4 linked regions of the Diceros bicornis minor genome follow. The protein of the gene in region 3 purifies or fractionates together with the protein of the main gene of each other region. This does not show direct contact. Links are inferred from orthologs where the notes say so. Each region holds a gene or a part of one and is shown on either strand. Other genes may lie near its edges. The genes, in order: SMARCA5, CENPA, NPM1 and DDX24.

Region 1 (7,518 bases), on a different chromosome or scaffold from region 3:
GATATTTCTCCAGGACCGTTTTTTAAAACACCTATTTGCATTGAGTTCACATGTTCATTGCTAGTTTACAGAAATAGTTGATTTTTCGAATGTTTATCTTGTATCCTGAAACTTTGCAGAACTCACTTATTAGGCCTTCGGATGTTTTTGTAGATTTCTTGGCGTTCTCTGTGTAGGTAATCACGTCATCTGCAAATAGGGACAGTTCTGTTTTTCCTTTCCAGCACTGTATTGAATCTCAGTGGTGTGAGCAGAATCCTTGCCTGTTTCTGATCTTAGAGGAAAAGCATTCAGTTCCATCAAGCATAACGCTATCTGCAGGTATTGTAGGTGCTCTTTACTAAGTGAAGGAAGTCTCCCTCTTTTTTTTTTTTCTGAGAGTTTTTATCCTGAATGGGTGTTAAAATTTTGTCAAATGCTTTTTCTGCGTCGATTGATATAGTCATGTGAGTTTTCTTCTGTAATCTGTTAATATGGCAGATAACACTGATTGATTTTCAAACATTGAACCAGTCTTGCATCTCTGGAATCTCTTATTTGGTCAGGGTACACAATTATTTTTACATATTGCATAACCGTATTTGCTAATAGTTTTGTTAAGGATTTTTGCGTCTATATTCATCAGTGATATTTGTCTGCCTTTTTCTTTTTTTATAGTGGCATTGTTCGGTTTAGTATCAAGGTTATAGCAGCTTCATAAAATGAATTGGCACGTGTACTCTCTTCTATTTTCTGGAGGAGATTATGTAGAATTGGTGTAGAATTGTGTGGAAATATTTGACAGAATTCTCCATTGAAACCATCTGGGGCTAGAGATTTCTTTTGGGGAGTTTTTTGGTTATGATTTAATTTCCTAAATAGTTATAGCGTTATTCAAGTTATCTATTTCATATTGTCTGAGTTACTTTAGCTTATATTTTTCAAGGAAGTGAAATGTGTTTAAACCTTACTTATCTTTTTTATTAAGAGCATAGTTAATGTTTTGGTTTAATTGGAATCCCCTTACATGGCAAATGACCTATGTAGGAGAATTCTGAGCAAGATACAGACAAGATGTGATCATTGGTATTTAGTGTTGGAAATTCCCATTCTTAGATACTCACAATCTCAATACTGTTTTATTGTTGTTATGTAGTAACCAGATTTTATTCTCCTAGGCTTTCACAAAATAAAATGAGTATGTGATGAAGAGAGGCTCAGCATTCCTACTTTTTCCTTGATAAACTTAAGTCCTTTTTGTTACCATTCAAGGTGAAAATGCTGAGAGAGTCCTGGCTCTGTGACATCTTTTGTCCTTTGGCAACATCTCTTTGTTCCACTCTATTCAGCACAGCACATGCTGTTCTAGCACGCTAAATCTAACAGAGGGAATTTCAGGCATAAATACCTATTTGCATATTTGAGATAGAACACTAACGTGGTTTTATATTGTAGCATTTTATTTCTGGGAACGTGGTTAAAGCAGTAATTTCTTTTAGAGTTTCCTTGACACTATTTCCTTTATCCTCCTACTTATTAAAAAACCATTAGCTTACTCTTCCTCCAACTAGACTCTGACCCTTAGTCTTACGATTCTTCAGGATTGGAATACCCAACACTTGAACACAGGGCTCATTATATTTCAGGCACTGTATTAAACACCCTCCATGCACCATCTCATTTAATTCTTATGACATCATTATAAGATTACCCCAATATAAAGTTAGGATAATATAATAATAAAAAGATGAGAAAATTGATTTCAAAGAAGTTAGATAACTTGCCTACATTCACACAGTTACTAAGTTCTTGAGCCTGCACTGGAATCTAGGCTTGACTGACTCCCCAGCCTACTCTCTTGCCACTACACTAATCCTATATTATACTATCAATTCCAGAAGTAGCTATTAGTTTTAGCCTATTAGTCTTTAAGAGAAATGAGCCTTCGTGATTTGGCCACCATATAAAGACTACTGTCTGTCTGACTAACTCAGCTAATGTCCCTATAGCTCAGTTTCCAGGCATCCTATCTTTTCTGTAGCTCCCCTCTCCTCTTCCTCACTGCTCCTAGACTCTGCTCAAAATCTGTTTCTTTGTCCCTGACGTTAGATTCGTGGATTCAAACATTCTGTCTCCTCTTTGTCCTTTTTTCTAATTATCTTTCCTCTACAATTTTCCCCAGCAAGATTCTAATACAGCTTTCCCATGCTCACATGAGAAACTCACAGTATAAATGCACATGTTAAAGTACAATTGCCATTTTGGAGATAATTTAATTTATTGCTTTTCTTGCTATTTATTGCTTTCCTTAAATAGTTGTCAGAATTAAGACCCTTCCATTTATATACTTAAGTATATTTTTAGGGTTTCCAAACCAGGACCCAAGATATTTATGTATCACTATGGAGTGAAGAAATAGTCTGAATACCAAATAAATGTTATGTTCTTTCTACTTAACAATGTCAATATTAAATAAATATTTATTCAATAAGTATTTATTGACTGTCTATACATCAGGTCCCACCCTAGATACTACCATTTTTATCCTTCCACACAATTTTTTTTGGTGAGAAAACATTTTTAATATTAAAAATAAGTCTTCTCAATATAATAATATACAGATTTATTTTAGTAATATAAAAACACACAGACAAGCAAAAAAGAATTAGGAAATATACAGCAACAACACTTTCAGAACTTTATTATCCTTCCAAACTTTTATCTATATTTTTGAACTGTTAAAACGTTTTTCAGTTAAACATTTTTTTAACTGAAACTTTAACATTCAGTTAAAGTTTTTTTCAGAATAAATGTTCTTCTACATTAATGGTTGTTAAAGGTTAATAATAGTTCATTTTGTGGGTATACAATAGTTCTAGAATCATACTTTTCAATATTGGACTTAGCCTATTGCTAGTTTTTTGCAATTACTAGCAAAGACTATGATGAACATCATTGTAGGTATTTTTCTTTTCACATATCCTTAGCATTTCTAACGGGTTGGGGGATTATTTTTCCAGATCTCAATTAAAGAATTATCATTCTATTAGGTAAAAGTTTGCAGGCTATATATTCAAAGGAGATCTCTTCTGTTTGAAATTCAACATAATCAACCAGTTAGCTCAAACCGTTAACTCTTGAAAAATGTGCCTGCTTTATTCAATAAACACTGATAGAATACTGGACATGGAGATACAAAGATAAATAAGCGCCTGTACAGGGCAGACAAAAATTTAGTGTAGTATGCAGATTTGTCATTAAATAGAATATATGAACATTAGCAAAAGAAACCTCAACTAAAGTTGGAGTTGGGAAGGCCTGTAGAGAGAGCACCAGTGCCCTACTACTCTTCCTCAATTACCCCAAACAGGAAGAGACTACCTTACATCTCCAACAGAAAGTTGCCTACTACCTTACTTCTCTAGGAGGAGGAAAGATTTTCTTCTTGCCCAGCAACAAGCCCCACCGATGGAAAACACTGCAGCTCGGCCAATGAGGAGCTCTGCTACTCTGAACTTTTACTCTCCTCCAAGGAACTTTCATTTAAGGAACTTTCATTTAGAACTGTCCCAACACTCCTTTTTCTGTATAACAGCAAGCTCCCTTCCTTTGTTCTTCAGCCTTGCCTATGGTGCACATGTCCAAATTGCAATTCCTTTGCTATTCCCAAATAAACTCATTTTGCTGGTAAAATAATTGGCAATTTTATTTTAAAGTTGACAGATACAACGTGCTTAAATTCTGTGGTAGATGGATGCACAAGACCCTTAGGCTACGTTGAAGATAACCTAAGGCAGTGTACAAAATAATTAGTGGTGATTACCTTTAACAAGGAGAAGGATGTGCATTTTTATTTAATATTTGGTGATCGAGGATAAATTACAACTCACCGCCACTCTTCCTTATCTATTGATTTCTCATATGGTAGAGTGAACATAATTTGCTTACTTTTACCACGTAAATTCAGAGGAACTATTGTTTCTGTACCTAAGGGAAGTAGAAGAAATTTAGAAATGACTGATAAAAACAAAACAAAACAAAATCACCCTAATGGGCCCTTTTCTTTAGACAACACAAACGTGAGACGTCACTTGGGATAACTATAATATCGTCAACGCTGTGGCGTCACGCCTATAAGCCGAGGCGATCGAAGTGCTAAGGCCACCACAGGCCTCCGTTTCAGTAAGCGTCGCAAAACCTGGGCAAGTTTTCCACGAGTCCGCCGAACCAGCCAAGCCAAGAACACACGGCCGCCGAGGACAGCCAGCCGTTATCAACGCATGTAAGACTGGGCTCGCGTCACGCCAGGGAGCCGACGCACAGACTTGCGTCTCCGAGCTCTTCCTCGAGGCCCCGCCCACTCCTCGCCCTAGAGCCCGCTGGGGGCCCTGAAGGGGGCGTGGCTAGGGTGAGGAGAGGAGAATGCGCATGCGCACTCGGTACTCAGTCAATTAGCCAACTATCAATCTCGCGAGGGTTGAAAGTCGGTGGCGTAGGTAGTTGTCTGGGATGCTGGCGAGATAGATGCTATCTACGAGGAAGAAGCGGAGGGGGCGAAACTAGTTCCTCGCCTCGGTCTCTCTTTCGCTTTCCCTTCCTCTTCCTCCAACCCTCCGCCCTCCTGTAATTCAGCCCGCCTTCCCTGACCTCAGTGACCCGGGTGGCCCCGCCCACTCTCGTCGACGTGATTCCCGCCGTGAGGTAAGCGCCGGTCGAACCCCGAGCCCCGCGGAAGAGGAGGACGACGAGAGGAGGAGGCTGCTGGGCCCGGCTCAGGCTCGGCGCGGAGCCGCGGCGCGGGGGGCGTTCGGGTGGTCCTCTCGTTCCTCTGTCCGCTCATTGCGACGTAGCCGGCCAGGCCTAGGCCTCCTCCTCCTCCCTGCCGGCCCGGCCTCTGGCAGCATCGGGTGACGCAGAAGGAACATCATGTCGTCCGCGGCCGAGCCTCCGCCACCCCCGCCTCCCGAGAGCGCGCGTTCCAAGCCCGCAGCCTCGGCCGCCAGCAGCGGGAGCAACACCAGCAACAAAGGCGGCCCCGAGGGCATCGCGGCCCAGGTGGCTTCCTGTGCGGCCAGCGCCGGCCCCGCGGACTCCGAGATGGAGGTGAGGGCGGCTTGTGGCCTGGGGAGAGGGCGCCGTGGTGAGGAGGAGCTGGTTCCCTCGCCTGGATTTTAGTGATCGGACGCAGAGCTGTGCGTAGCCTCTCTGCACCCAAACTCGGCCTCAAACTCTTTGGATCCGAAATGATGCTCTCACCCTTGCGCCCTTGTGTTTAACCTACCCAACGAGGCTGAAATGGATTTCTGCACTTCCCATTTTACATTGTCTCTGGAGCGAATCTTGCCAAATCCTTGAACTCTCTTATTAAACAGATGTTCTTGATTACCGAGGCCAAGAGGGACTTACCCGGGTTTTTTAATTTTTTTCCTCTAGACTCCTGTAATTCTCTCTCTCGTCTCTGAATCTAGGTTTTAGTTTCCACTAAACTTGGGGGAAGGGCGAGGGAGCTGCCCCTTAGGAGTGAGGGATAGACGGGCGGGGTGGGGAAGGCATTTAAAAGCAGCGCATCCGAGGACTTGGGCCTGCTTTTCTTCGTCCCGGTCCCTGCGGGGGCGGTATCTGTTCTGGGCAGAAACAATGGCGAGAGCTGGATGGCCGAGTGCGCAGTGGGGATAAGCGGGGCGCAGCTGCTCCTGTGAAGGGAGAGGAGGCCCCTCCCAGGCACTGTTCCTTAGGGAGGGAAGCGACCAAGGCAGCAGCAGCTGTTTTGGACCCCCCTCTCATTTAGGGGGAGGGAATGGATGGGTGGATGAATGAATTAGTGAGCCAAGGGCGGTTAGTTGGCTTTCAGTGCGGCGCAATTCCTCTTTTTGGGCCTTGGCCTTTTTTTTGAAAATTGGTCCCGCTCGCTGCCGACCCTGCCTTTTGGCTAGGGTTGGCCGGGGAATGGTGACAGTATGCGGGGGTGGAAAGATTGGGGAGCGGCCAGGCGGGTCTCTTGGGTGTGCTCCAAGGCTTTGCGATGTCTGGGAACAAAGTGATTGCTTGCTCCTTCCAAATTTCATTCTTGGCCTTCGATCTGTTTTGAGATATTTTATAGTCGCAGCCCAAGGCTTTTTGGGATTTTTCCATCCTTAGATAGACGGAATGGAGGTAATACTGCTCTAAAAATGAATCTTGATGCAGAATTAACACAATAAGGAAATGGAAGCGCAGGTTACCATTGAAATACTTGGTTCAGTATTTTTATTTGGGCACCAAAGGTCTAATCCAGGGTAAAGTAACATTATTTTGTTAGTTTTTCAAAGAACTTTTAGCGATGAGGGTAGGTTTTAGTGAAGTAGGACATCTGATATTCTGTAGTTTTCAGTGATTTGAGATTGGTTTCCATTTCCTATCTAGTGTTGCCTGTTTCTTTTACTCAAGGTTTTAAATAGTTCTTTTGGATTATCAGGGCTTTTTAACCTGGTCCTACTCCATGGCTTAAGGGGGTTTGAAAATCTGTGACGCTGAAAGCAGTTGTGTTTAAATGCACAATTGTTTACAAAGTGGTATCCAGAGTTTTCATTAGCCTCTCAAAAGAGTCTGTCATTTAAATTTTAGAATAATAATCGATGTCTCACTAGAGATGTTATTTAAATGTCAGAAAGCAGAGTAATTTAAAGCCTAAACTATTTTGGCTTTCAGTTGCTATCTTTAAATTAAAGTGGAATTAGAGTTTAAGTATTACTATTGATGTGATAATAAGTACCAAATGAAGTCAGTGGTATTTTTAGTATTTGCCAGATGAGGAAACTGAGTCTTCTGATAAGTAGAACCTGTGATAGAACCCATGTTTGCTCTGAAACTGACCCTTTTCCCACATATCTTGCCTTATCATGTTCTTACAAAGGAGATATTTGACAATGTCATTTATTAAAGAATGACTTACTTTTACCTTGTCAGAATAGGCGTTACAGTAATTTTATCTTTTATCAATCTCTTTTTCACTGACTAATTTTAGTTGTGATTTTTTTCTTTTCACATTATAGTGTGATTTTTTTTTTTGGTCTTTTAAAATAAATGTCACTTGTCTGCTTTTTTCCCTCAACTGAATTCAGAAGTCATTGAGTAAAATCAATGGTAAAAACTAGGTTTGAGTATACATGCATGATATATCTGGCAATCTGTTCACAGTTGAAAAACATATTTTAAAATGCCATTTTCTTTTTGAAAGTAGAATTTAAGGTGGGTTTTCCCCAAATCAGAAAATAAATGAAATCTTTCATTTATGATTTTTTTCTGACAAAGCTGACCTTCCCAGAAATATTAGCTACCTTTCCTATGTATTCAGTTAGTTTTTCCTTTTTGCTTGGTACTGATAGATCAAGGAAACAATCTCATTTTTTGTTTATTATCATCTTTTGGCAGTGTGGATGGAGCCTGTCTTTGTTCTTCTCAGCTCTCACTATTGACTAGACTGATAGATAGGCACTCTGTATGCCAATAATCATATGACCTCAGGAGTCTTGGAATCCAAATCTTTTTTTTTCCCCCCAA
Region 2 (7,002 bases), on a different chromosome or scaffold from region 3:
CTTAGGGCCTCCACAGTACCATACAATAAGAAATAAAACGTACAAATAGGAAAAAGAAGATTCGAAAGTCATTATTTGCAGACCATATAGTAGCCTATTTAAACATTTCAACTGGAGCAACTGAAAAACTATTAGGATTCACAAGAGAATTCAGCAGGTTGGCTGGATGCAAAGGTTATTTGTTTAGGAAAGAAAAAAAAATCCCGTTCACAGCAGCAACATCTATAAATAATCTATACTTTTTTCACCCTGCTCTTAGTCATGCAGCAGAAGACAAGTAAAGCGGTTGCTGCCACAGAGCCCAGTTCTTGCCAGTGGGTCTCCCACCCACCAGACCACAGTAGAGAAACTGAGGACCACAAACCAGTCTTCTTTCCGGCACATAACCTCGGGAAGGGAACAAGGTGAGAGCACCGCTTGAGTTAGAGCACGTTGGTTAAGGCCCAACACAGCCACTCACTGAAGAGAAAAAACAAAAAAACCTGGAAGGGTACCTTCGTCTTTCTTTTTTTTTTTTTGCTGAGAAAGATTCGCCCTGAGCTGACATCCACGCCAATCTTTCTCATTTTGTATGTGGGCCACTGCCACGGCATGGCCACTGATGAGCGGTGTAGGTCTGCACCCCTGGACCAGAACCTGGGGCTGTCGAAGCAGAGTGCACTGAACTTAAACCCCAGGCCATGGAGGCTGGCCCTGGAAGGGCACTTTCTAAAAGCAGAATTGTTGTTTGAAATCGTCACAAAAAGCAGCCAATAATTTTGCAATTTAAAAAATCACAAACTGATTTTGAAAGCCCGGTGTCTGCCGGAACAGGGGTGTGACCTTGTTCAAGTCACCTGGCCTGTCTGCGCCTCGGTTTTCTCATCTGTAAAATGGGCACAATATAACGTTGAGATAATTCTCGTAAAGAGTTTAACACAATGTCTAGTTAGCGGTAAGCACTCCATAAATGCTAGTAGCATCGGGAAGAATTAGCACCAGCACCCAGGCTGTCTGGGCCCGTCCTTCTCCTGCGCGGCACTGCCTTCCCCAGTCCCCGGGGCCGCGGCGAGCAGATGGGGGACGGCAGAACCGCGCTGGCCAGTGCAGAGGATGCTAGCGGACCCGGAACCGGGGCATTCCGGCACAACCCCAGGCTCGGCACGCGACCTCGGTGTTCTCGTCTGCGAAACGGGCACGCGAGCCGGCCGTGCCCACCTCACAGCACGTGCCGGGAAGGGGCCGCGGCCGGTTACCTAAGGACGGGGCCCGCCGGGGGCTGCCGGGGGCCGGGCTGGCGGCGCGCCTCCTCGGGACTTCGGGCTTGCGGCGCGGGCCCATGGCGGGCGCGGAGGGTTGCGGCCCCGCGGCTCCTTCTCGGCCTTCGGAGTCTGGAGACCAAGGCTGGCGTCCGCGGGCGGCCTGGCAGCGCCCCGACCCGTGGCCCCGCGGTTGGGTGCTCCGCAGCCGCCGCGCCGCCTCACGTTCAAAACGCCCGCATCGCCGATTCCCTGCCGGCGTTTTTTAAAACCCGAATCCAGCGACTCTCAGTGGCTGCCTCTGGAACGCCCCGGCGCAGAGCGACTGCGGGAGGACCAATGAGAACACAGCCCGGGACCCTGACGGCGGCGGTGATAGGAGGAGAGAGCGGGAACATGGCGGGTCCACAGCAGGACTCAGCCTATGGGAACTTGGAGAAGTAAAGGGAGGCGGGAACTTCTCCCGCCCTCCGCTTGCCTGTCGGGGTGCTCGTCTTTGAGGGATCTGACCCGAGTCCTCGGGTGCCCTCTGGTAGGAAAGGGAAGGCTCGATTTTGAAGATGTAGATGGTGAGTTTGTAGAACGCGTTTCTCTAGACAAATCACTTTGCTCAAACATTTTATGTTTTGCCCTATCAACCAACCCAAGTCTTTACCTTGGATTGGGGATCTGAACCCGAGAATAATACCCTGTATCTTGATCTCGGTGCTCTTTTCTCTCCTGACTTTATAACTAAAAGTAAACGAACACCACATTGCACTGACGACTTTGGATGTTTCTGTGATGCCCACGCTGACATCCCCCTTGGTTGTTCCACGGTCCTGGTGGGAATTCCAGCCCAGCTCGGGAAGGGAGCGACTCTCAACAGGCATGCTGAAGTGAACTAGGTCTACAGTCCCGGAAAGCAGAATCTTCTTGAGTTCGCTGGCTGGAGCGGTACCTGGGGATATTCCGTGGGTCCACTGGCGATGGGGGTGAGAAGACCCACTCTGGTGGCGGCTTACACAATAGAAGACCCGACAGCCAGGGGCTCTGCAATGTGAGCCTCCTCCCTGAATGGCTCTTATATTCATCCTCGCCCCCATTTCTCTAGTCCAGACCCTAATCAAAGGTTGTTTTACTGGTCTCTGTCTTCAGTACCTCTTAACGCCAATCAAACCTGTCTCCATATAACCACCAGGTCATCTTTCTAAATAGCAATTTGGATCATGTCGCCTCCCCTGCCTAAAACTCTCCATGGCACTCCACCGTCTAATGACAGAGTTCTAATGCCTCAGCAGCACTGAGGGCACAGCACTGTCTGGGCGCCTGCCCACCTCTCTGGCCTCTTCTGCGTTGCATGCTTACTGCCAGGCACACCAGTCCACTTACCTGCAGTTCTTGACTACATCGCCTTGTTATACGCCTTCACGTTTCCGTACGTTTTACAAGCTGTTCCTTCCTGGAATACTCCTTCTCCTGCCCTTCAGCCCCCAGCTGGGACTCCTGCTCATCCTTCAACACCCAGTTCAAGTGGAGCTCTCTCTGACAGTTCTAGATGGAGTTAGCTGGTCTCTCCTGTACTACCTTCCCTGCACCTCGTACAAAGGCCTCTTATTGCACATCACACTGTGCTGGAATTCTTTCTTTACATATTCATTTCTCCTGTGTTCTTTGATGGATCCACTCTCCTTGGAGCACATCAGTCCTCAATCAAGTTTGCTGAATTCTGGGATAGAAACCCCTTATTAAATTTTTTTTGACAAGTGTTCTTAATGAAGAAGGGTGATCTATAAACTTTTATGGCTACATAGGGAAACCCCTGCTTACCTCGAGTTTTGAAAGGATGTAGTCAACAAAAGGCAATCTATAAGTGGGTCAGGGAGGTGAACACGTTTAGGAATGCTGAGAACCTCTCCTTTTTATAGGTAGCCAAGGTCTTGAGAGGTAACATGACTTGTCCAAGGCCATCCAGTCAAGGTAGAGGCAGGGCTGAGAACACAGCTCTCTGCCGCCAGATTCTGCTTCTTTCTCCTACACAGGAGGCCCTTTGCTCCACTCCTCTGAAGTCCTCATAAGGGGTCAGAGCTCTGACCTCCTGGAGCGCTGTCTGCTTGTTCAACTACGCAGAGTCCTTTGGGCAAAGTAAAGGCAAACAGAACCATTTGGCACGGGACTAAATCTCCGCCTTGTGGGCAGATTCCCGGTGGAGAGGAGCCTGAGGGCTACTCCCAGGCCTGGATGGCAGTCCTGGAGGAAGCTCCAGCCCCAGGCTCCCCTAGGATCACTCTACGAGGACTAATCAGTTCACCATGTGGATGATTTAAATTACACTGTATTTGAACCGATGTTCAAATATTTGATAACCGATGGAGGTCTGTTATCAGTTATTCTGATTTTGGGGCTCAGGGCCTCCACGCCAAATGCCCACCATTCAGGGCTCCCTTACTCCACTCAGAACAGTAGGCCACAGCTACAGACATTCCCCGCAACCATCCAGACTCAGGAGAGGGGAGGTCCTTCCCCTTGCACATGACCAGCACAACACAGTAAGGCCTCTCATTCACCCTCAAAGCACCTCTGACAACAGGGTACAGTGGACACATCCCAGGGCCTGGGAGGACACCTACTGCCAGCATAAAATTTTCTGGAGGCATCCTGTTTTAATTTATCATCGATGTGAATTTCACATTCTACTCCATGATGGTTTGTTTTAATAAAACATTTCTCCTATGCTGAGCAAAACCGATGTTCTGTGCCGTGACAATGCTGGGACTTCAGTGCCCCCGATGGACCACTGTGGTGGACAGTGCAGCCCTACGTGACACTCTGCTGTGCACTGGCACATAGAGGCACCTTCAGTTTATCATCTTATGTAATTTTCACACTCATCCTGCAAGATGGAGGCTGGCTTTCTCATTTTGGAGATGTGAAGACCTAAAGCTCCAGGAGGTAAAGCAGGTTCCCTGAATTGGTGGCAGGCCTGACAGGGTGTCCCTATGCTCTGCAACCCCTGACCACTGAAGTCCCATTATAGTTCCCCCCACCCCTTCAACATTAAAATCAACACAGTCTCCCATGGCAGCACTCAAATAAAGGCCAAGTGCTTCTCTAACACCCTCTGAAGCGGTTTGCATGGTTGAGCGCACAGGCTGGGCAGTCCGCAGCAGAGGAGCAGTCCTGGACTCTCGGTACAGGCCCCTGGCTACGCTCCCTGTGGCAGAATGGGATGGGCAAGTACTGAGAACCAGGAAATCTGGCTTTGCATGTCACTGGCTGTGTGACCTTGGGAAGTTCCTTCCTCTCTCTGGGCTTTAGTTTCTTCATCTGAACAATGAATGGTGGACTGGGTGATTTCTATGCTTTGGTACATTAGAGCTTTTCCATCCCAACATTCTAGACGCTATCCCCAGGAACGTTCCAACCCTTGTGCTCCTTCCCTCTTGTTAAAAAAAAGTCCATACTACCAATTTCCCTTTTTAAAATAAAGCCTAAAACAACATTCTAAGGCCCCAGTTTTTTGGACAAGGCAGCTGTAGTCCCCACCACCCTCACTCTCCATTTCCTTCTTCTGTGAGCTGGTGGGATGGAGAGGCCCTCCTCTCCCAACAAGCTGTAAGAACCTGCTGGATTCCCGCATAGTCTGAGGGCTTTGCTTGTCAAAGATCCTTTCCCCAGAACCTATTTTAAGGAAGGCATTCAGTGCTTTGTTTTATGATTGAGCAGCCCAGGAAGATGGTCTGAGGCTCCAGAAACTACCAGAGTGAGGAACACTGGAACAGAGGGCTGCTCAGCTCCCTGCAGTCCCTGATGCCAGCCAGTCCATCTCTTCTGGGTGGGGTTACCAGGAGGACAACAGCATAATGCTTCTATCCCAGCCACAGGAAATTCCCCCCAAAGACCCCAGGGAAACCCATATGGGAGGTGGGGGCCCAGGTGTGGAATCAGGCAAACCTAGCTTAGAATGCTGGCTCCATGAGGAAGTCACTTAACCTTCTTGGGGCCACAGTTGCCTTGTCTGCACCCACCCGTGCAGGCTGCTATGAAAGTTAAGCACTTAACACAATGCCTGGGATACCAGAATTACTTTAAATGGTAGAATCCTGGTAAGTCCACCAACCTGGAGGGTTCTCTAAGAGTCAGGTTGGGAGGTGGGGGCTGAGGTCCAAATGTACTCTAGATCTCAGCCTATGGCAGGATCATGTGGCTGCATGGCCAGAGCCTACAGCAAGAGAGCCCTCCTGCCAAAAAATACAGAACCCTAGGCCTCAGTTTCCTCATCTTTAAAATGGAGGTAAAGACATCCTAAACACTGTTATCAAGGGCTGCCTGGAATTCTGGCTGTAATCCCTCTCAGTCAGGGAAGACTTGAGGGTGTGTGAGCAAGGACATCAAAACAGGCTTGGGGAGGAGGCACTGTGGGCAGAGGGGCATTTCCAATAAATGGGCTGTTACTCCTTTCCCAGGTAGGTCAAAATCGTAGGCCTACAAACTGTGCCCAGCTGGGGCTGGAAGGCACTGAAGCCACAGTGTTGATACCTTCTGCTTTACAGAGCAGGACACCAAGGCCCAGAGCGACCAGGTAATGGGCTAGGGAGCATACACGAGTCTGCTGCACAGCCTGACTGAAACCTAGGTCTCCAGACAGGGTTAGGGAATATCTTACAAGTTTTAGAAAATACGGTGCTTAACTTTCATTCTCTTGCATAACAACCTGCACAGGTGGGTGCAGACGAGGCACAGGTGGGTGCGGATGAGGCAATCGTGGCCTCAAGAAGGTTAAGTGACTTCCTCGTGGAGCCAGGCAGGGGTCGGTCACTGTCCTCAGGCCTGTGGGGGCTGGGTAACACCTCTCTGCAGGGGGTTGTGACAAAGGAGGACCAGGGTATCATGTCATGTTCTGTGGCAGCAGCTTTCCTGGGGGTCTGTGGGGAGGGGCAGGGTGAGGCCTTGGGCACAGGGCACTCGAGGCTCACCAGCCCGTGCGACCTCAGCCTCAGGGTGAACAAGGAGTGTCCAGGTGGCAGCAGAGGCCCTGCAGAAGGCTCAGCTGGTATCGTTGATGGCAGTCCGAGAGCCACCCAGCAGTCTCTCATGCTCACCCTCCTCTGCCGGGGGCCGGCCCCTGGACAGGCGGGTGAGCAGCGGGCGGTGTAGCCCGTTGTAGAGGGCGGTGCCCATCAGGAGGATGAGGAAGCCGAGGATCTGCAGTGGGTGGAAGGCCTCCCAGCCCAGTGCCAGGCTCACTGCCCAGATGACAACAGTGCGCAGGCTGTCCAGCACCATGCGAGTGGTGGCGCTCAGTTCCTTAGTGACACTGATGCCCGCAAAGTTGAAGAAGGCAATGCTGCTGATGTTGCCCAGCAGCGCCAGGGCAATGAGTGGTTGTCGGCCCACCTGGCAGAAGGCGTCCAGCGCATCCTCCAGCGTCCCGTGAGGGTTTCCACTGAAGGAGCCGGCGGGGATGTAGTACATGGGCACCAGCAGCAGGGAGAGGATCACGAAGCCAAAGAGGCCTGTGGGAGTGGAGGAAGCATATCACACTCTCCGCTCCGTCCCCAGACTCCCAGCACTTCCCACCCAGCAAGGGCTCCACTGATCTCCTGGCCACCTCCTTCTAGCGGCCCTACACCAGCTCCTTCCTTTCAGGTCCTGGAGCCGCTCCTCCCATCAGGAATTCACAACGGCCTACTGAATGGGCTCTAGCTGCCCCTTCTCCACTTTAATCCACATCTTCCAACTGGACCAAGAGTAAGAAATACATTTTACATAGTGACCAGTATAC
Region 3 (7,069 bases):
CCTAAACTGACCTGTGAACAGAAAAATAGTACTTCAACTTTTAAGTTGCCACTATTTTACAATTCCCCCCCAAAATGAGTTTTTTAAAAAACAAAACTATAAACTTTTCATTATTACCACTGATGGAAAACTAATTTGAGCACAATGTTGTCTTCAACTTTTATGTGACCCTGCCCATCAATTTCTCATATTCAGTAAATCTGAACAAATGCATAAAAATGCATTTGATGACACAGTTGTATATGTCACCACCTATCCACAGTATGGATCACCTAACATTTATTGACCACCTACTACAAGTTGAGCAGTCTAGACACTAACAGAGGCTAGTCTCTGTGGGAGGGCACAAAAGATTTATCACTACCCTAAAGGGCTTTATAGTGGAACTGAGGCATCAAAGTATACAAATATGGAAAGCTGAACCAACAGTGTGACTGGACTTTACATAATTACCAAATGAGTGGTGAAAATGCCAGGTTTTCTATCAGAGGTATATAATCAGGTATATACAACACTCAGTTATAAAAAATACTTAAGTATTAAGCCACACGAGGAGGAACTAAGAGACTGAAATGGACAAAGGTTAAGTAGTTTATTTTGAAAAGTTTAAGTACCGTTCTTAAAGATAACTGGTGCTCATTTTCATCATTATCCACCTTAAAGTGATAATCTTTGTCAGCCTTTAGTTCACAACCTGTAAATGAAGAAAAAAGCAACTATAACAGAGAAAAAAATAACAATGAAACTTCAGTGTGGGTAACTAAAAAAGTATTTGTGAACTAGTTTTTCACTATTCTGGCTACCAGAAGGCAAGGCAGAAGTATCTCTTTCTGGATCTCTTGAACACAAACATGTATAAACATCATATAACATCCACACAGGGCTTAGGGCTTCATAAATTCCACTTTCCCATTATACTATTTGATTCTCAACTACACTATTACCATTCTCAGATAGAAATAAGCTCAAAGATTTAGTAAATCTGTAACTGAAACAAGTATCTGAAACCAAATTGTACGATGTTGGTAAAATCCCACTGTTTAAAAAAGCTGAAATTACCTAACTCAACTCCCAAGAAAAGCAGCAAATTTAGAAATGAGAATGGTTACACAAATGCCTACATGAACAGTTTGTATTTACAACAGAAAAACTACAAATGTAAAAGAACTAAAACTTGTTAAGGGGCCAGCATTCCATCTTTCAAGTAACTGAAATGATGTACATTAAATCACATTCAAAAATTATGTTTAAAGCAAGAATAGATATACCCTAAAGATATTTCCAATAGAAACGTTAACACAAAAATATTTGGGTGTAAATTGATCAGAAACCTCAGCTCTTCAAGATGGCTAGAATAAAAGCCTTAATGTATAGTGCATGTTACCTACTCCCACTCCACAAGTAAGAAAATTGTTTTAAATACCATCAGAATGAAACTTTAAATGATTCCATTTAATTGCCATCTAACAGTTACTGGTGCATATGTTTAAATGTTATCGCTCAATTAACAAATCTCAGCATGGTATATAAAGAAACAAAATAAATTTGAGGCAGGATTTGCGCTTACTTCCAAGCCTGACTGACACAAAGAAATGGCTTCAACAACCAAATTCACTGCGACTGAAAGCCAAACCAGGCCTCTCCTTAGTATGTCACTGTGTGCTGAGGAGGGGGAGAGATCTCAAAACCTTGGTATAGAATTACAAGTACAGTACAGTATCAGGTCTTATCGACCTAACTGAACTCTCGGCACATTTCTCATCTTTAAAAAAAAAAAAAACAAAACTGTTTGCTCGATGCCACACAGAAAACTGTCTCCATGGGCCTCTCTCCAAAAAAACAAAAAACCAATCCTTTATAACGCACCAGCTCTGGAGACAAGGGTCTTGGTTTAGATCTAGTCTCTATTTACCTACAAGTGCAACATTCTTTAAATCACTTTAGTTCTCTGAGCATCAGTATCGTCATCTGCAAAGTGGCTACTCCATCCATCGCGGTAAAACAGAAAAATGGCTCTAGAAATGAGAACTACCATCATAGTACGCAAATGTTAAGCAATGAACAAAGACCTCCAGAATCCTGGCGCTACCAGCCACTTCACCTAACATTTCCCGCCCAACAGCCTCAACTAAAACCCAGGACCCCAGGCTCGGGGGTGACAGGACATCAGTGAGCCCCGGATGCAGCGCCCACACCCCCACCTTGCCCCAACCACGTGGCAACCACGTGCTCCCAGCGGTTGCGGCCTCCTCACGCCCGGCCGGGCCTCCCCTCCCCCGGTAACCAGCCGACGCACCCGGGCCGAGTGTCGGCCCTAGAGCTCCTGACCCTGAGGCCTCAAGGCCGGAGGACAACGCCAGGCTGGAAGTATCCTCTCCTCCGGAAAGGAGGCCCATGCTCACATGACGAGCCCACACAACCTCCTGCACCAAGCCGAGGCCCAGCACCGAAGACACCGGCGCGGAATCGGAAGCCTGCGAACTCACACACCCCTAAAAAGAAATCACGCTCCGGGCTCGACTGTGCGCCCTAGGCAACGCCGAACCCTCAGCCTGTCGGCTCCACCTTCCCCAAGGCCCTGGGCCTCGGACCGCTCACGCCCCAGGCTTCAGGCCGCCCCTCCTTCCCACCCTTGGCGCGCCGGCTCTCCTGTCCTGGCTCCCCATCCCTCAGGCTGCAGAGCCCCGGCAGCCCGCTTCCCCCACCTCTCAGGCGGCAGGGCCCCGGCAGCTCGCGCCCCACTCCCCAGGCCTCCAGCCTGCCTGCCTTTCTCCACCGGCCCAGGCCTCAGAATTCCCGCCCCCCCCCCCCACCTCAAAGCCACTAGGCCTGCTCGGCCTCGCTCCAGCCCCCCCAGCACTTACCGAAAAGATAGTTCTGGGGCCTCAGGGGGCTCATGTCCATGTCCATCGAATCTTCCATGGGGTGGTGGCACGCACTTCGGTGGGAGAGAAGGCGGACGGAGACAAACGACCACTGTTGCACAGAACAGCCGCGCAGGACGGAATCACACCAGGGAAAGGACGCGGGCTCCCTGCGCACATATATAGCATCTTGAAGCTCTCGCGAGAGCTGACCAAGTCCCGTCTCTGCGCGCGTGCTCGGGAGCCCCCCTCCCCGGACCGTCGCCTTCCCGCGCAAGCGCTCTTCAACATTACTCCCTTCTACCTCGCCCCCCACCTCCTCCAGGTACTTCGCGGGCTCCCACCGAGCACGCGCACTCGTACCCCGGCCCCACCCCTCCGCCGCCGCCGCCGCCCGTGCGCACGCGTGCTTTCCCCTGGTAGCGCGCGCTCCCCCGCCTCCAAGCCTTCCACGTCCTCTCCAGCCCAGGCGCGCGGGCGTCGCGCCAAGAGCCTGCGCAGCCCACCCTGCAAAATGGCGACGGCAAGTTTTAGCTGTGTTAGGTGTGGGGGGCTAGCCAGTTAGAAGTGACCCAGAAAGCAGCTCGCTTCACCTTTCTCCATCCCTTCGTGCCTCGCAGACCTCCAAACAGGCATAACCACTTCAGGATTTTTGACTTGCCTAAAGGCCCGGGCTCAGAGTTGTATCCCCCAAGTTAAAAGCTTCAGGTGCCAGAGACAAGAGTGGACTACGAATTATTCTTTGTTGGCGAGAAAAGATGCAGCTGCTGGCCGCACTTACCCAACTCTGTTTTTACAGCTCTGTACTTTCTGAGGAAACATCTCCGAAGTTGAAATCTCTCATCTTTATGTCATTTTGGGGCCAAAAGAGAACTGAGTCAGCCTCTTCCATAGAAGCCCCGCAAGAACCAGGGCTGGGTGATTTCTCCCTAAAGACAAGGGCTGTGTATCGGAGCAAGCCTGTGGCATAGCGGTTAAGTGTGTGCGCTCCGCTGCTGGCGGCCCCAGTCCGGAACCCCAGGCGCCCACGGATGCACCGCTTGTCAGGCCATGCTGTGGCGTCTTCCCACATAAAGTGGAGGAAGATGGGCACGGATGTTAGAGCAGGGCCAGTCTTCCTCAGCAAAAAAGAGGAAGATTGGCATGGATGTTAGCACAGGGCTGATTTTCCTCACACAAAAAAGAGGGCTGTGTACCTGCAATAAGTCCCCACATCAGGTCCCGTGAGGCCGGTGTGACTATCCCCACTTTGCAGACAAGGAAACGGGTGAGAGAGGTGAAGTAAGGTACCCAAATGGGTGATGAGATGGTTCTCGAGCTCTGAGTCCCGTGCTAACATCCTTCTAAAAGAGCTGGGAGGGTTATGTAGGGACCAGTCTCTGAGACAGCGCACTACTCAATCTTGAACATTCCTAAGAATGTTCTGAGCTGTAAAGAAAGCGTCTAACTTGTAAGAAATGCAACCTTAATTAGACTCTTGGGGAGTGAGCCTGGAAATTAGCATTCTAAACCAGCTACACCTTGACAAACTGAGGACCTCCGCAGCTCCAGGGCACTGTGAGTTTTGAGGATCCCCTCTAACAATCTTTTATGTCAACAGATCAGACAATAAGAAGTACTGTGAAGAGTAAAAATAGTGCCAGTGATGCCCCTACCACTTTTTCCCCAAAGACAATCCAGTTGGGAAGATAAACTACAGAACACATGAACCAATTATTAGTTAACAAAATCAAAATCCTAAATTTGGAGAAATCAGTGTGACCAGTATGTGAATGAGGCCAAGCTGTTCCCCACCTTTTTCCTCACCCCTAAGTGAAGAAGAGCCTTCACCAACATGGTTCTTGGATCTTTTGAGTTGGAGAAGATGAACAATTGCTAGAGAAAAAACTGAGACTTGGAAGGATATTTATGTAATGGAATGAGAAAGGCTGATAAAAGGGAGGAGAGGACTGTGGCTGAGAAGAATCTGGGGATTTAGAATGGGAAAGTCTCAAGAGGAGCTACAGGACAGTGTAGGAGAAGGGGTTAATGTTCTTTGAGCCCATGCAAGTAAAAGTTGGAACTACTTTGTAATTTCTTTCTGGATTCTCGACCATGATTATTCAAATTTAGCTCTGTACAGATCCTGAACCATATGGGAGCTATAGCTCATGTTTTATAAATACATTTGTTGTTTTAATATTTCAGGCACCTAGTCTAGATATGATATCATGGAATCAAGCAGTTAAAAAAATCACTTATTGCATTTTTCAGATTTACAAATGTAATGAATGCTCACTATCTTTTTAATAAATTAAAGTTATTTAGGTCTATACACGTGAAAAAGTAAAATGCCTCTCTTTCCATATCTCTGTTTCTATTCCCTAGGAGTAATCACTGTTAATAGTTGTGTGATTATCCTTCCAGACTATATATATAGGGAGAGAGAGATTACATAGTTGGGGTTTTTTTCTTTTGTATTTTTTTTAAATGTGTGTGATTCATATATTTTTCACCTTTTTTGCATATTCAAAAATATATTTTGGACATTTGTCCAAACTAGTACATAATATGGAAATGTTATGATTTAATATCCATTCCTCCATAGATAGACGCTAAAATTGTTTTCATAGTTTTGCTATAAGAAATAATGCTTTAGTAAATGTTATGGACTGAATGTTTGTGTCCCCCCAAAATTCATACGTTGAAGCCCTAATCTTCAATGTGACTATATTTGGAGTTAGAGCCTGTGAGGGAGTGATAAAGGTTAAATGGTTAAATGAGGTCATAGGATCAGCCCTAATCTGATAGGACTTGTGTCCTCCTTATAAGAGGAAGAGACACAAGAGCTCGCTCTCTTTCCTCTATGTGAGGCCACAGTGAGAAGGCAGCTGTCTGCAAGCCAGAAGAAAGCACTTACTGGGAATTGGATTAGCTGGCACCTTCATCCTGGATTTCCAGGCCTCCAAAAGTGTAAGACAAATTTCTGTTGTTTAAGCTACCCAGTCTGCAGTATTTTTTTATGGCAACCCAAGCAGACTAATACAGTATCTTTGTACATATATCCTTATGGATGTCTTAAAGTAGTTTTGTAATATGTATTTCTAAGAAATGGACTTGTACAGTAAAAGGGCAGGTATTTACTTACAAATATATGTACATAAAAATGCAACTTTTTGTTGTTTACATAAATAGGCTCATCCTTTATATATTGTTGTCTTAGTCCATTAGGCTGCTATAACAAAATACCACAGACTGGTAGCTCATAAACAACAAATTTATTTCTCACAGTTCTGGAGGCTGGAAGTCCAAGATCAGGGCGCCCGTGTGGTCAGGTGAGGACTCTCTTCCAGGTGGTAGACTTCTCCCTGTATCCTCAGGTGGTGGAGGGGGCTAGGGATCTCTGTGGGGTCTCTTTTATAAGAGCACTAATCCCATTCATGAGGACTCCACCTTCGTGAACTAATCACCTCCCAAAGACCCCACCTCCTAATACCATCACCATTGGGGGTTAGGATTTCAACATATGAATCTGGGGGGAATACCTTCAGGCCATAGCAATTTTCTGCAACTTCGCTTCTTCATTTCATGTGGCTTAGTTACCTTTCCATGATATTATATATGGAAGCTCACTGCATTCTTTTTAGGAGTTGCATTATATTGCATAAGATGAACATATATACTATTTCCAGGTTTTATTTATTTCTTCATTTGTTAACACATTCTGTGATGGAAATCTTCAAACACGCACAGAAATAGAATATTATGATGAACACCAATATACCCATCACCCAGCTTCAACAATTATCAACATATAGCTAATCTTGTTTCATATATACCTTCCCACCATCCTTCCCACTCCCCCTCTGCTGGATCATTTAAAGAAAATCCTAGATATGTATATTTTCATCTATAAATACTTAGTATGTATCTTTAAAAGATAACAATTTTTAAAGCCTAAACATAATACCATTATAATACAAATCAAAGTTTTAAATAAGTCCTAATATTATGAATTATCCAGTTCAAATTTCCCCAAATGTCTCTTGTAGTTGGTTTGTGTGAATATCCAAACAAGGTCTACACATTATACACTGAGACATGTTGTCATTTAACATGTTTCCTTATCCCTTGTGTTTTCTATGAGTTAGTAGATCAACAGCTGCTCTGTCAAATGTGGTTGCCACTAACTATATTTGGCTACTTAAATTTAAATTAATTAAAAT
Region 4 (7,616 bases), on a different chromosome or scaffold from region 3:
CACTTAAAATGTGGTTACTCTAAATTGAGATGTGCTACAAGTTCAAAATATACATCAGATTTTGAAAACTTACTATAAAAATAAGAATGTAAAATATCTCAATAATTTTACATTAATTACCTGTTAAAATATTTTTTATATAATTTGTTAAATCAATATATTGTTAAAATTAATTTTCACCTGTTTCTTTTTACCTTTTTTTAATATGGCTCCTAGGAAATTTAAAATTATGTGGCTCACGTTATATTTCTATCTATATATTCTACTGCTGGTCTAGTTGGACTATCAGTTCCAAGCAGTACAAGCTCCTCCCCCCAGTCAGCAGTTTGGTTTACCCAGGGTGAGTGAACCTGTCATCGCTTTACAAAGTCTTAGAAGGCCCAGGGAATGAGGGAACTTTAAACAATGCCTAGTCCCAATAGTCACCTCATGCCCAAATCTGCCTACAAAATCTACCCGACGATTCCCTACCACACACTCAAATCCTTCCAATGACAATGAACACACCAACTCCCAAAGCAGCCCTTTTTATCTTGGGACAACTCTTGAGAATTAGACACTTCTTCCTTATACTAATGGAGATCTACCTGTCCAGAGGGCTGATCTTAGCCTTACTTTACCCCTCTGAGACATTGAGAAAAGGCTCACTTACAACATATTGTGTAAACTTTAGTTTACTGTAGCATTTACATTTAACCCACATAGTAAAACTAGATACTGCTATTATCTCCATTTTATAACGGACACCTTAGAGCTCAGAGAGAGAAAGTGACCTGCCTAGGGTACCAACCTGGAAGTGACAGATTTCAACCCAGAGCTAGCTAACTTCTAAACACCTTCATTCAACACCGCTTTTATGGTTATGTTCCCAACATTCTCCTCTTTCCCAGCCAGCCAGCCTGCTAGCAGCCACAGGCTCAATCCAGAAGCAATCTAGCCCTGGCCAGATAAGAATACCCCTACCTGTCTCAGCAGCCCCAAGGATGTCCAGTTTGTCACGGATGGCAGGTGCCAAGGTCAGAGCTTGGATTGGTGTAGGCGCAGAGAAGCCTAGGAAGCTGAGTGCTCGGAGAACTGGCTTGGGTACAAACAGGTCCTTCCAAGCTGATACGTCTGCCTTCTGGTCATGCATTTCAGGCATCCACGTCTTTGCTTTTTTGGGCACCTTTGGAGTAGTACCTTGGGAAGGCTCCAAGTTTTTTTTTCCTTTCTTTTTCTTCTTTTTTGGAATAGTCTGGGCTGGGCTTTCTGATGCCATCTCCCCTACCTCTGGATCAGGACAAACTGTGCCATCTCCCTGGGCCTCTGGCTCAGCATCTTTGACCTTAAACTCTTTCTGGGTACTGGTTCCTTCCGCTTCCACATCTTTACTCTTCTTCAACTTCATCTTTTTCTTTGAGGAGCTAGACTCTCCCTCCTCCTCTCCTTCTGAAAGAGCTTGTGCCTTTCTCTTTTTGGGCTTCTCCTTAGAGAAGAGACTGGAAGAATTCTTGGCAGCAGAAACCAACCGGTAATCTGTCAGCTCCTCAAAGCACACCAAGTCATCCATCTGTCCGTCTGCAAACATATTTGGGTCAATTTTCACCTGCTTCCATGTTCCCACAACTTTGATTCCCTTCGTTTGAAATTTGCCATAGCTTGGCGGCTTTGGCCTTGATTTTTTCTCCTTCAACTTCATGGTTGCTGAAAAGAAAAGAAATGTTCCATTAGGTTGGCAAAAGAGAAGCACAGGGTTTTGAGGCAACAAATGTCTTCCAAGCAGCCTAGAGAGTATCAGGCCCTGCAAAGAAGCGAGGACACAAAGACGGCTCCAACACTGATGCTTCCAGCTAAAGAGGATCAAAGAGGGAAGGAAAGACACCCACAGAGCAGGCAGCCTGGCCTGGAACAGAGCAGACGCAGGAGATGGAGCAAAGATACACGAGACAGAACTGGGGTGCACTACAGATCCAACACTTACTTCTTGTGTGCCCCTGGACAGTCCCGCTTAAACCTCTCCAACCTCAGTGTTCTCATCTTCTAAAAAGGGGGAGGGGCCTAATAATATCTAAGTCACAAAAATGTTTTGTGCAAATAAAGAAAATTATGTAAAGCCTGCCGCACCCAAGCCATTCTAAAGGCAGAATAAGAATCCGGGATTTTTTTGGGCGGTGGGGGCCTGAGGGGGCCAGCTTTATTAAAAGTGCACACAGGTTCCCTCCTTCTCAAGCCTCGCCCCAAGAGGGCAAATGCCCGTCCCACCATCCTGGCCTGTACAACATGGCTTAAAACCCGTCCAGCTTTTCATTACGTTTTAAGTGATTTGAAAACCATTTAAGCAAAAACTGAGTGGACCGCGATCCATGTTCTCCCTTTTCAGAAAGGCCTAGAAAATACGAGATCCTGGGGAAAAGATAGAGGTAAACCCTGGTTCAAATCCGGACCCCTGGTGGCCAGCTCCGGGTCGGCGGTGGATATATTAATCCCTGTGACCCTCGGTTTCCCCGTGTGTGAAATGGGGGTGACTTTGAGGCTGTGTGTCTCACTGGATCGTTACGCGGATACCCAAAGGTGACGCAGGTCCCAAACCGCTTAGATGGCGCCTCCCGAGGTGAGCACCTCAGACGCGGGAAGGTTCGCCCACCGCCCCGGCTGCGCCACGACCACCAACAACCGGGCTCAACCCTGAGAGGGGCGGTAGTCGGGCACACGGGGGCCAGGACGCGGAGCGCGGCCTGAGCAGCGAGCGGGTCCCTCCTCGTGGCGCCCGCCCGTGACCGGCGCTCGGCCCCGTCTCAGGCCCGAACGCGCGCACGAAGCGGTGAAGCCGAGGCCGCCGGGCCCTGACGAACACAGAAGGGGCCCCGGCGCGGGGCCGCGCAGGCTGCCTGACTGGGCCGGCGGCCGCCCTCTCCGGACCGAGAACTGGGCGCCCTGCAGAGACCCCCCGCCTCCAGCTCCGGGACTCACCGCGTGGAGACGCCGGCCAGCCGCCTCAGAAACCTCCGCACCAGCCCCTCAGCTGCAGCGCTGCCCGCAGTTCCGGGGCGGGGCTTGCACTCACGCACGCGTGTGCGCTGCAGAAGGAAGTCCCGCCCCCACCCTAGACTCCGCGACCCGATTCGTTGCCGCGCGGGATCGCCGCGGTGCGGGGGCGGAGTGCGCGGAGGGGTGGTGGGCGGGGCTTGGACGCGCGGCGCTCCTCCCCGGCTTAGGGCGCAGGCGGAACCCGGGAAGCGCGCTGTCTCCAGCCCGAAAGTCTCTGCGCCGGCTCACGGACGGGAACGCGAGTTTTCTTGTCTTCTTTGTAAGTTTTTAGTGCAGTGGTTGTCCGCTTATTGAGTACCTACTGTGTGTCTGAAGCCTTGCAAACATTTTAGGGTTTCATTTACAACCCAACCACCCTGTTTGGAGGTGCTGTTTTCCCCGGTGTTTTTATGCTTGGCCTGTTCACTGATGGTTGGGGTAGGTCGGCCTGACTCCAGACCCCACGCTTTAATCAAGCTAAACTGGCTTCTTTGATGCGTGCAGAGAGATCAGCTTCACAGTAGATAATCACTTTTTCCATGTGGGTATCACCTGACCATCTGGGACACCTTTCCCATATGCTGTCTCTGTGTCTGATGACTGTGGGAAGTGCTAAAGGACAATGGGGGGATTCACCAAGCTGAGGTCAAGTGAGCGTCCCTACTCTCCGTGGAGCCACCATGGGACAGAGCTTAACTCATATCTTGGGGGAACTTGCCAGTGTGTCACCAAGAGTCTGGGTGGCATAAAGCCTGTGCCCAAGTGTACGTGACAAGAGACTGGAGCTGTCCCTGATGACAGAGTGAGGAGGAAGGCTGCATATCCCTCCGTGGCGGGACAAAGGTTCCTGTCTCTTCTGGGCGGGTTACACACCTTCGAGGATTGCAGGGTTGGTGTGTGGCTGCATGCCCAGTTGGGTGAGCAGTGTAGGATAGGTTGTGGAGAGATCAAAGAAAAGACCCGGAGATGGCGAACCAGACATAGAGGTTTATTGGGAGTTACTTACAGGGAGGTCTGGTGGTGGCCGACCAGACAGGAACGTGCACCCGCCACCGCGGGCGGGGAGGGGGTTGCTTATATAGGCAGGGGACACAAAGGCTATATGCTTGCCAAGGGGTTGTCCCTGGTATGATCAGCGTTCCCAGGAATGTAGCTCACGTGGAGGGGCTCTGTGCCTCTTTAAGACGGGGTGTTCTTTAAGTGAGATAAGGTAAGATTAAGTGAGATAAGGTAAGATCCGGGGCTGCACAGGCGCTGGATTGTTACAGATCCCAGCAGCTGGGCGTCCTGCCCAGAAGGAGCCAGAAGGACACATGGTTGCAATGGGCTTGTGGGCTCTTGCTGAGCAAGCAAGGCCCAGGCCCTACAGTTGTCTTGACAGAACCTCTCCTACGGGGGCTGTTTAGTGGGAAAAGGGACCTCACCAGAGAGAGGCTGGAAGTAGGGCCCCTGAAGTGGGACTTGGGGACCATCTTGAGGGGTCAAAATGGTGCATGGTGGAGATTCTCAGTAGAGGTCTCTGAAAAACTGACAAAAGCATCTTTATTAGTCAGGGTTCTCCAGAGAAATAGAACCAACAGGGTATGTACATAATGTGAGCACATGGCCAGAATTGCTCCCAGGGTCTTGGAAGGAGCTGGTACAAGCAAGAGTCCCTTAACTCAGGCTTCTTTCGCTTCGTGGTAGACCTGCCTTTGCCTCTATCATCAGTGGCTACATAGGATTCTAGTATGTGGAGGTATAAAACTTTGTGTACTCGATTTCCTGTTGATTCAAACTTGTTGTCATTAGAAACACCATGATAATCATTCACGTGCTGTTTTTGTGCACTTTTGATTCTTTCCTTACAATGAATTCCAAGAAGCAAAATTTCTGAGTCAAATGGAATGAAAGCTTTTACTGCATGTTTCTGTGTCACTGACCAGAAAGTATGTGTCAGAACACACTCCCCCCAGCAGGATATAGGAGTCACCTTTCCTCATCATGCAAACACTGGGTGTTTTCGGGTTATTTACTTCCTGGAGTAGATACTGAGTGATACTCACTCAGCTCTGTTTCATCCCCTGCTGTGAACCCTCCACAATAGAGAGCTAATGACCTCATTCCCCAGAGTCTCTCATAGCACCAGTTCTGCAAATGACCTGGATTGTGCCAAGCAGACCTCCCGTCCCAGAACTGGAAGGTGCGGGACTTGGTTTTCAGCAGCAGCAGTAGACAGTCCCAAGATCCAGTTCTTACCTTATCGAGATGCATCATTTTACTGGCATAGGTGATATCCGAGGCAGTTCAGTCTCAGAGCCAACAAGTGGGATAGTGGCTTCCTCATACCCCAGTTTCTTGACCATGGCAGTGGTCACTGCATCGTTGGGGGCCCAGTTCTTCAGTGTCATTTTTTTTTTGTGAGGCAGATCAGCCCTGAGCTAACATCCGTGCCAAGCCTCCTCTTTTTGCTGAGGAAGACTGGTCCTGGGCTAACATCCGTGCCCATCTTCCTCCACTTTGTGTGGGACACCGCCACAGCATGGCTTGCCAAGTGGTGCGTTAGTGCGTGACCAGGATCTGAACCCGGGCCGCCAGCAGCCGAGCGCGCGCACTCAACCACTGCGACCACGGGGCCAACTCCTTCAGTGTCATTCTGAGGAGAGTGTCATTCCTGGAACCTCAGCCTAGAACTTCCTCCTCCAATCCTGGAACAATTTTGTAGGCACCTAATTCCCTGTGTTAAAACCCATTCTGCTTAAGTTAGCTGGAGTGATTTCTGTTACCTGCGGCCAAACCCTGGCTGATAGAGGCGTCACACGCGCGTGCGTGCACAGACATACAATATCTCCTTTAAAAAATTATTTTCCCATTAGTGAGATTGAACATCTTTTCAAATATTTATTGGCCACATGTAATTCTCTCTTTAGGAACTACCTCTTTTAGTCTTAGCATTCCTTTTTAAAGACAGTTCTTTTCAAAAATTTTTCCATAAGAAGTCTCTTTACATTGGGGATACTAATGGTGAGACTGTTTTGGGTTTTTCTCCCCCAGTAGATCACTTGTCTCTTAACTTTGTTCATGGTGTTTTTAATGTCACACGTGGTCTGATGGTATCATTCTTTTCTGTCCTACAAGTTGTCTTTCTAGCTGTCTTCTAGTGACAGGAAATTCAGAGAATGTCTCTGTTTCTCCGGGTGGGGGATGTCCTTGCAGCCTCGAGTTCTGCTGGGAAGGAGAGCGGATACCAACTGATACGGAGGAGGGGCTCCTGCAACCCGGCTCTGAAAACCTCTCCCCTGCTTGTGCCAGGGACAGTGCTCAGGCAGGAGCCCAGTGAAGCTGGAGCAGGGGAGGCTGAACTGGTTGGGTTGTTGTTCCAAAGCTAAACGAAGCTGGGGGCTGGGGGACGGGCGGGGCTGTGGGCTGGCCACCTCGTCTCCTCGTCTTGCGTGAGAGGCAAAGCCTCATTGCTCAGGCCGTTCAAGGATATCCCAAGCAGAGGCCCCTCCCGCCCTTGATTCTGCCCCTTCTTTCGTTTCCTGCCCCTCCTTTCTTCCCCAACTTCACCCTGCAATTCTCACTTTCCTCTCTCCTCCTTATTCTTTCTTTCATTCAAAACATATTTACTCAGTACTGAGTGCTGACCCAAGAGAAAAAGACAGACCAATCTATACTTTCATGAGACTTATTCTGCAAAGGGCAAGGGACAGAAACAAGTAAATGTCATAAGTGTATTTTCTGAGTGCCTGCGTTTCTCCAAACTAATACGGCAGGCACATCAAGGTTAATGAACTTGCCCAAGGTCACACTAGTTGTTAATGAACAATCCAGGCCACTGGTCAGATATCATGCTGTTAACCCCCAGCCTGCGCTGCATCCCTGATTATTACAGATATGGGCTTAGGGCTCTAAGCCATTTGTCGGCAAATGTAAAATGTTTTGTACTGTAAATTTGTACATCCTGGGGGCACAGGGGAGAGATGACCTCATACAAAATGAAGTTCGTAAGATGTGCGGTCACAGTGTAGTGAAAAGGAGGACTAGGGATTTCTCACAGATCCAAGAAGGGGATTTTGAGAGGGAAGGTAATGCTCCTGGCATTGGGGTATGTTGGAATTAGGTTATCCTGAAGACCAGCCCACACTTGTTCCATCCTTAGGTTAGCAACGCAAAAGTGAGGTCTAACTGGCACCAAGCCTGGGATGAGAATGACTCACCTGTGGGGTTAATGTCACCCAGGGTGGGACTGTTTAGCTGGCTGGAGTCCTTAGCAGCCTCACCAAGCGCAGGACTTCAGACACTGCTCTGCGTTCTCAGGCAGTTACCTCCCAAGGTAGACAGGAGCCTGGGAAGTGGGGAAGTGGGGGGCAGGGCATCCCTCTTTGCCTTCGTCCAGGCTGCTGTGATCCGAGGTGAGTGTCTGCTGGGAAGGGACTTGAACCCACCTTTCCCCTGAGTCTTTGAGAGCTACCAGTGTGTCCCAACCCAGGTTACTCTTAAGCCCTAAGACTTAGGCTGGGTTGGGGGCGGTGGGCGGGGGACAGAGATGGGATATTAGAGATGAACAGAACCCTGGAGAGCAGAGAGCCAAGCAAAGTCACTAACGTTAAAAGCTGTGGTCGGGGCCG

What was found.
Region 1: the proteins of NPM1 (region 3) and SMARCA5 purify together in Homo sapiens (co-immunoprecipitation; 3 studies listed by BioGRID and IntAct, with this or other methods). This does not show direct contact. The link is inferred for Diceros bicornis minor from reciprocal best matches to the Homo sapiens genes NPM1 and SMARCA5.
Region 2: the proteins of NPM1 (region 3) and CENPA purify together in Homo sapiens (affinity purification with mass spectrometry; 4 studies listed by BioGRID and IntAct, with this or other methods). This does not show direct contact. The link is inferred for Diceros bicornis minor from reciprocal best matches to the Homo sapiens genes NPM1 and CENPA.
Region 4: the proteins of NPM1 (region 3) and DDX24 purify together in Homo sapiens (affinity purification with mass spectrometry; 3 studies listed by BioGRID and IntAct, counting the BioPlex papers as one, with this or other methods). This does not show direct contact. The link is inferred for Diceros bicornis minor from reciprocal best matches to the Homo sapiens genes NPM1 and DDX24.

The regions. Positions count from the first base shown.
Region 1 is NC_080750.1:33,315,157-33,322,674, forward strand, and holds the start of SMARCA5 (SWI/SNF-related matrix-associated actin-dependent regulator of chromatin subfamily A member 5), read left to right. Parts: upstream 1-4,513; 5' UTR 4,514-4,905; coding exon 4,906-5,082; intron 5,083-7,518. UniProt on the Homo sapiens protein: ATPase that possesses intrinsic ATP-dependent nucleosome-remodeling activity.
Region 2 is NC_080751.1:55,990,278-55,997,279, forward strand, and holds the start of CENPA (histone H3-like centromeric protein A), read right to left. Parts: upstream 3,017-7,002; 5' UTR 1,321-3,016; coding exon 1,236-1,320; intron 1-1,235. Other genes in the region: SLC35F6 (solute carrier family 35 member F6), read right to left, coding at 6,264-6,733. UniProt on the Homo sapiens protein: Histone H3-like nucleosomal protein that is specifically found in centromeric nucleosomes. Replaces conventional H3 in the nucleosome core of centromeric chromatin that serves as an assembly site for the inner kinetochore.
Region 3 is NC_080740.1:85,422,547-85,429,615, reverse strand, and holds the start of NPM1 (nucleophosmin), read right to left. Parts: upstream 3,011-7,069; 5' UTR 2,923-3,010; coding exon 2,865-2,922; intron 695-2,864; coding exon 615-694; intron 12-614; coding exon 1-11. UniProt on the Homo sapiens protein: Involved in diverse cellular processes such as ribosome biogenesis, centrosome duplication, protein chaperoning, histone assembly, cell proliferation, and regulation of tumor suppressors p53/TP53 and ARF.
Region 4 is NC_080763.1:39,614,851-39,622,466, forward strand, and holds the start of DDX24 (ATP-dependent RNA helicase DDX24), read right to left. Parts: upstream 3,018-7,616; 5' UTR 2,950-3,017; intron 1,684-2,949; 5' UTR 1,679-1,683; coding exon 964-1,678; intron 1-963. UniProt on the Homo sapiens protein: ATP-dependent RNA helicase that plays a role in various aspects of RNA metabolism including pre-mRNA splicing and is thereby involved in different biological processes such as cell cycle regulation or innate immunity.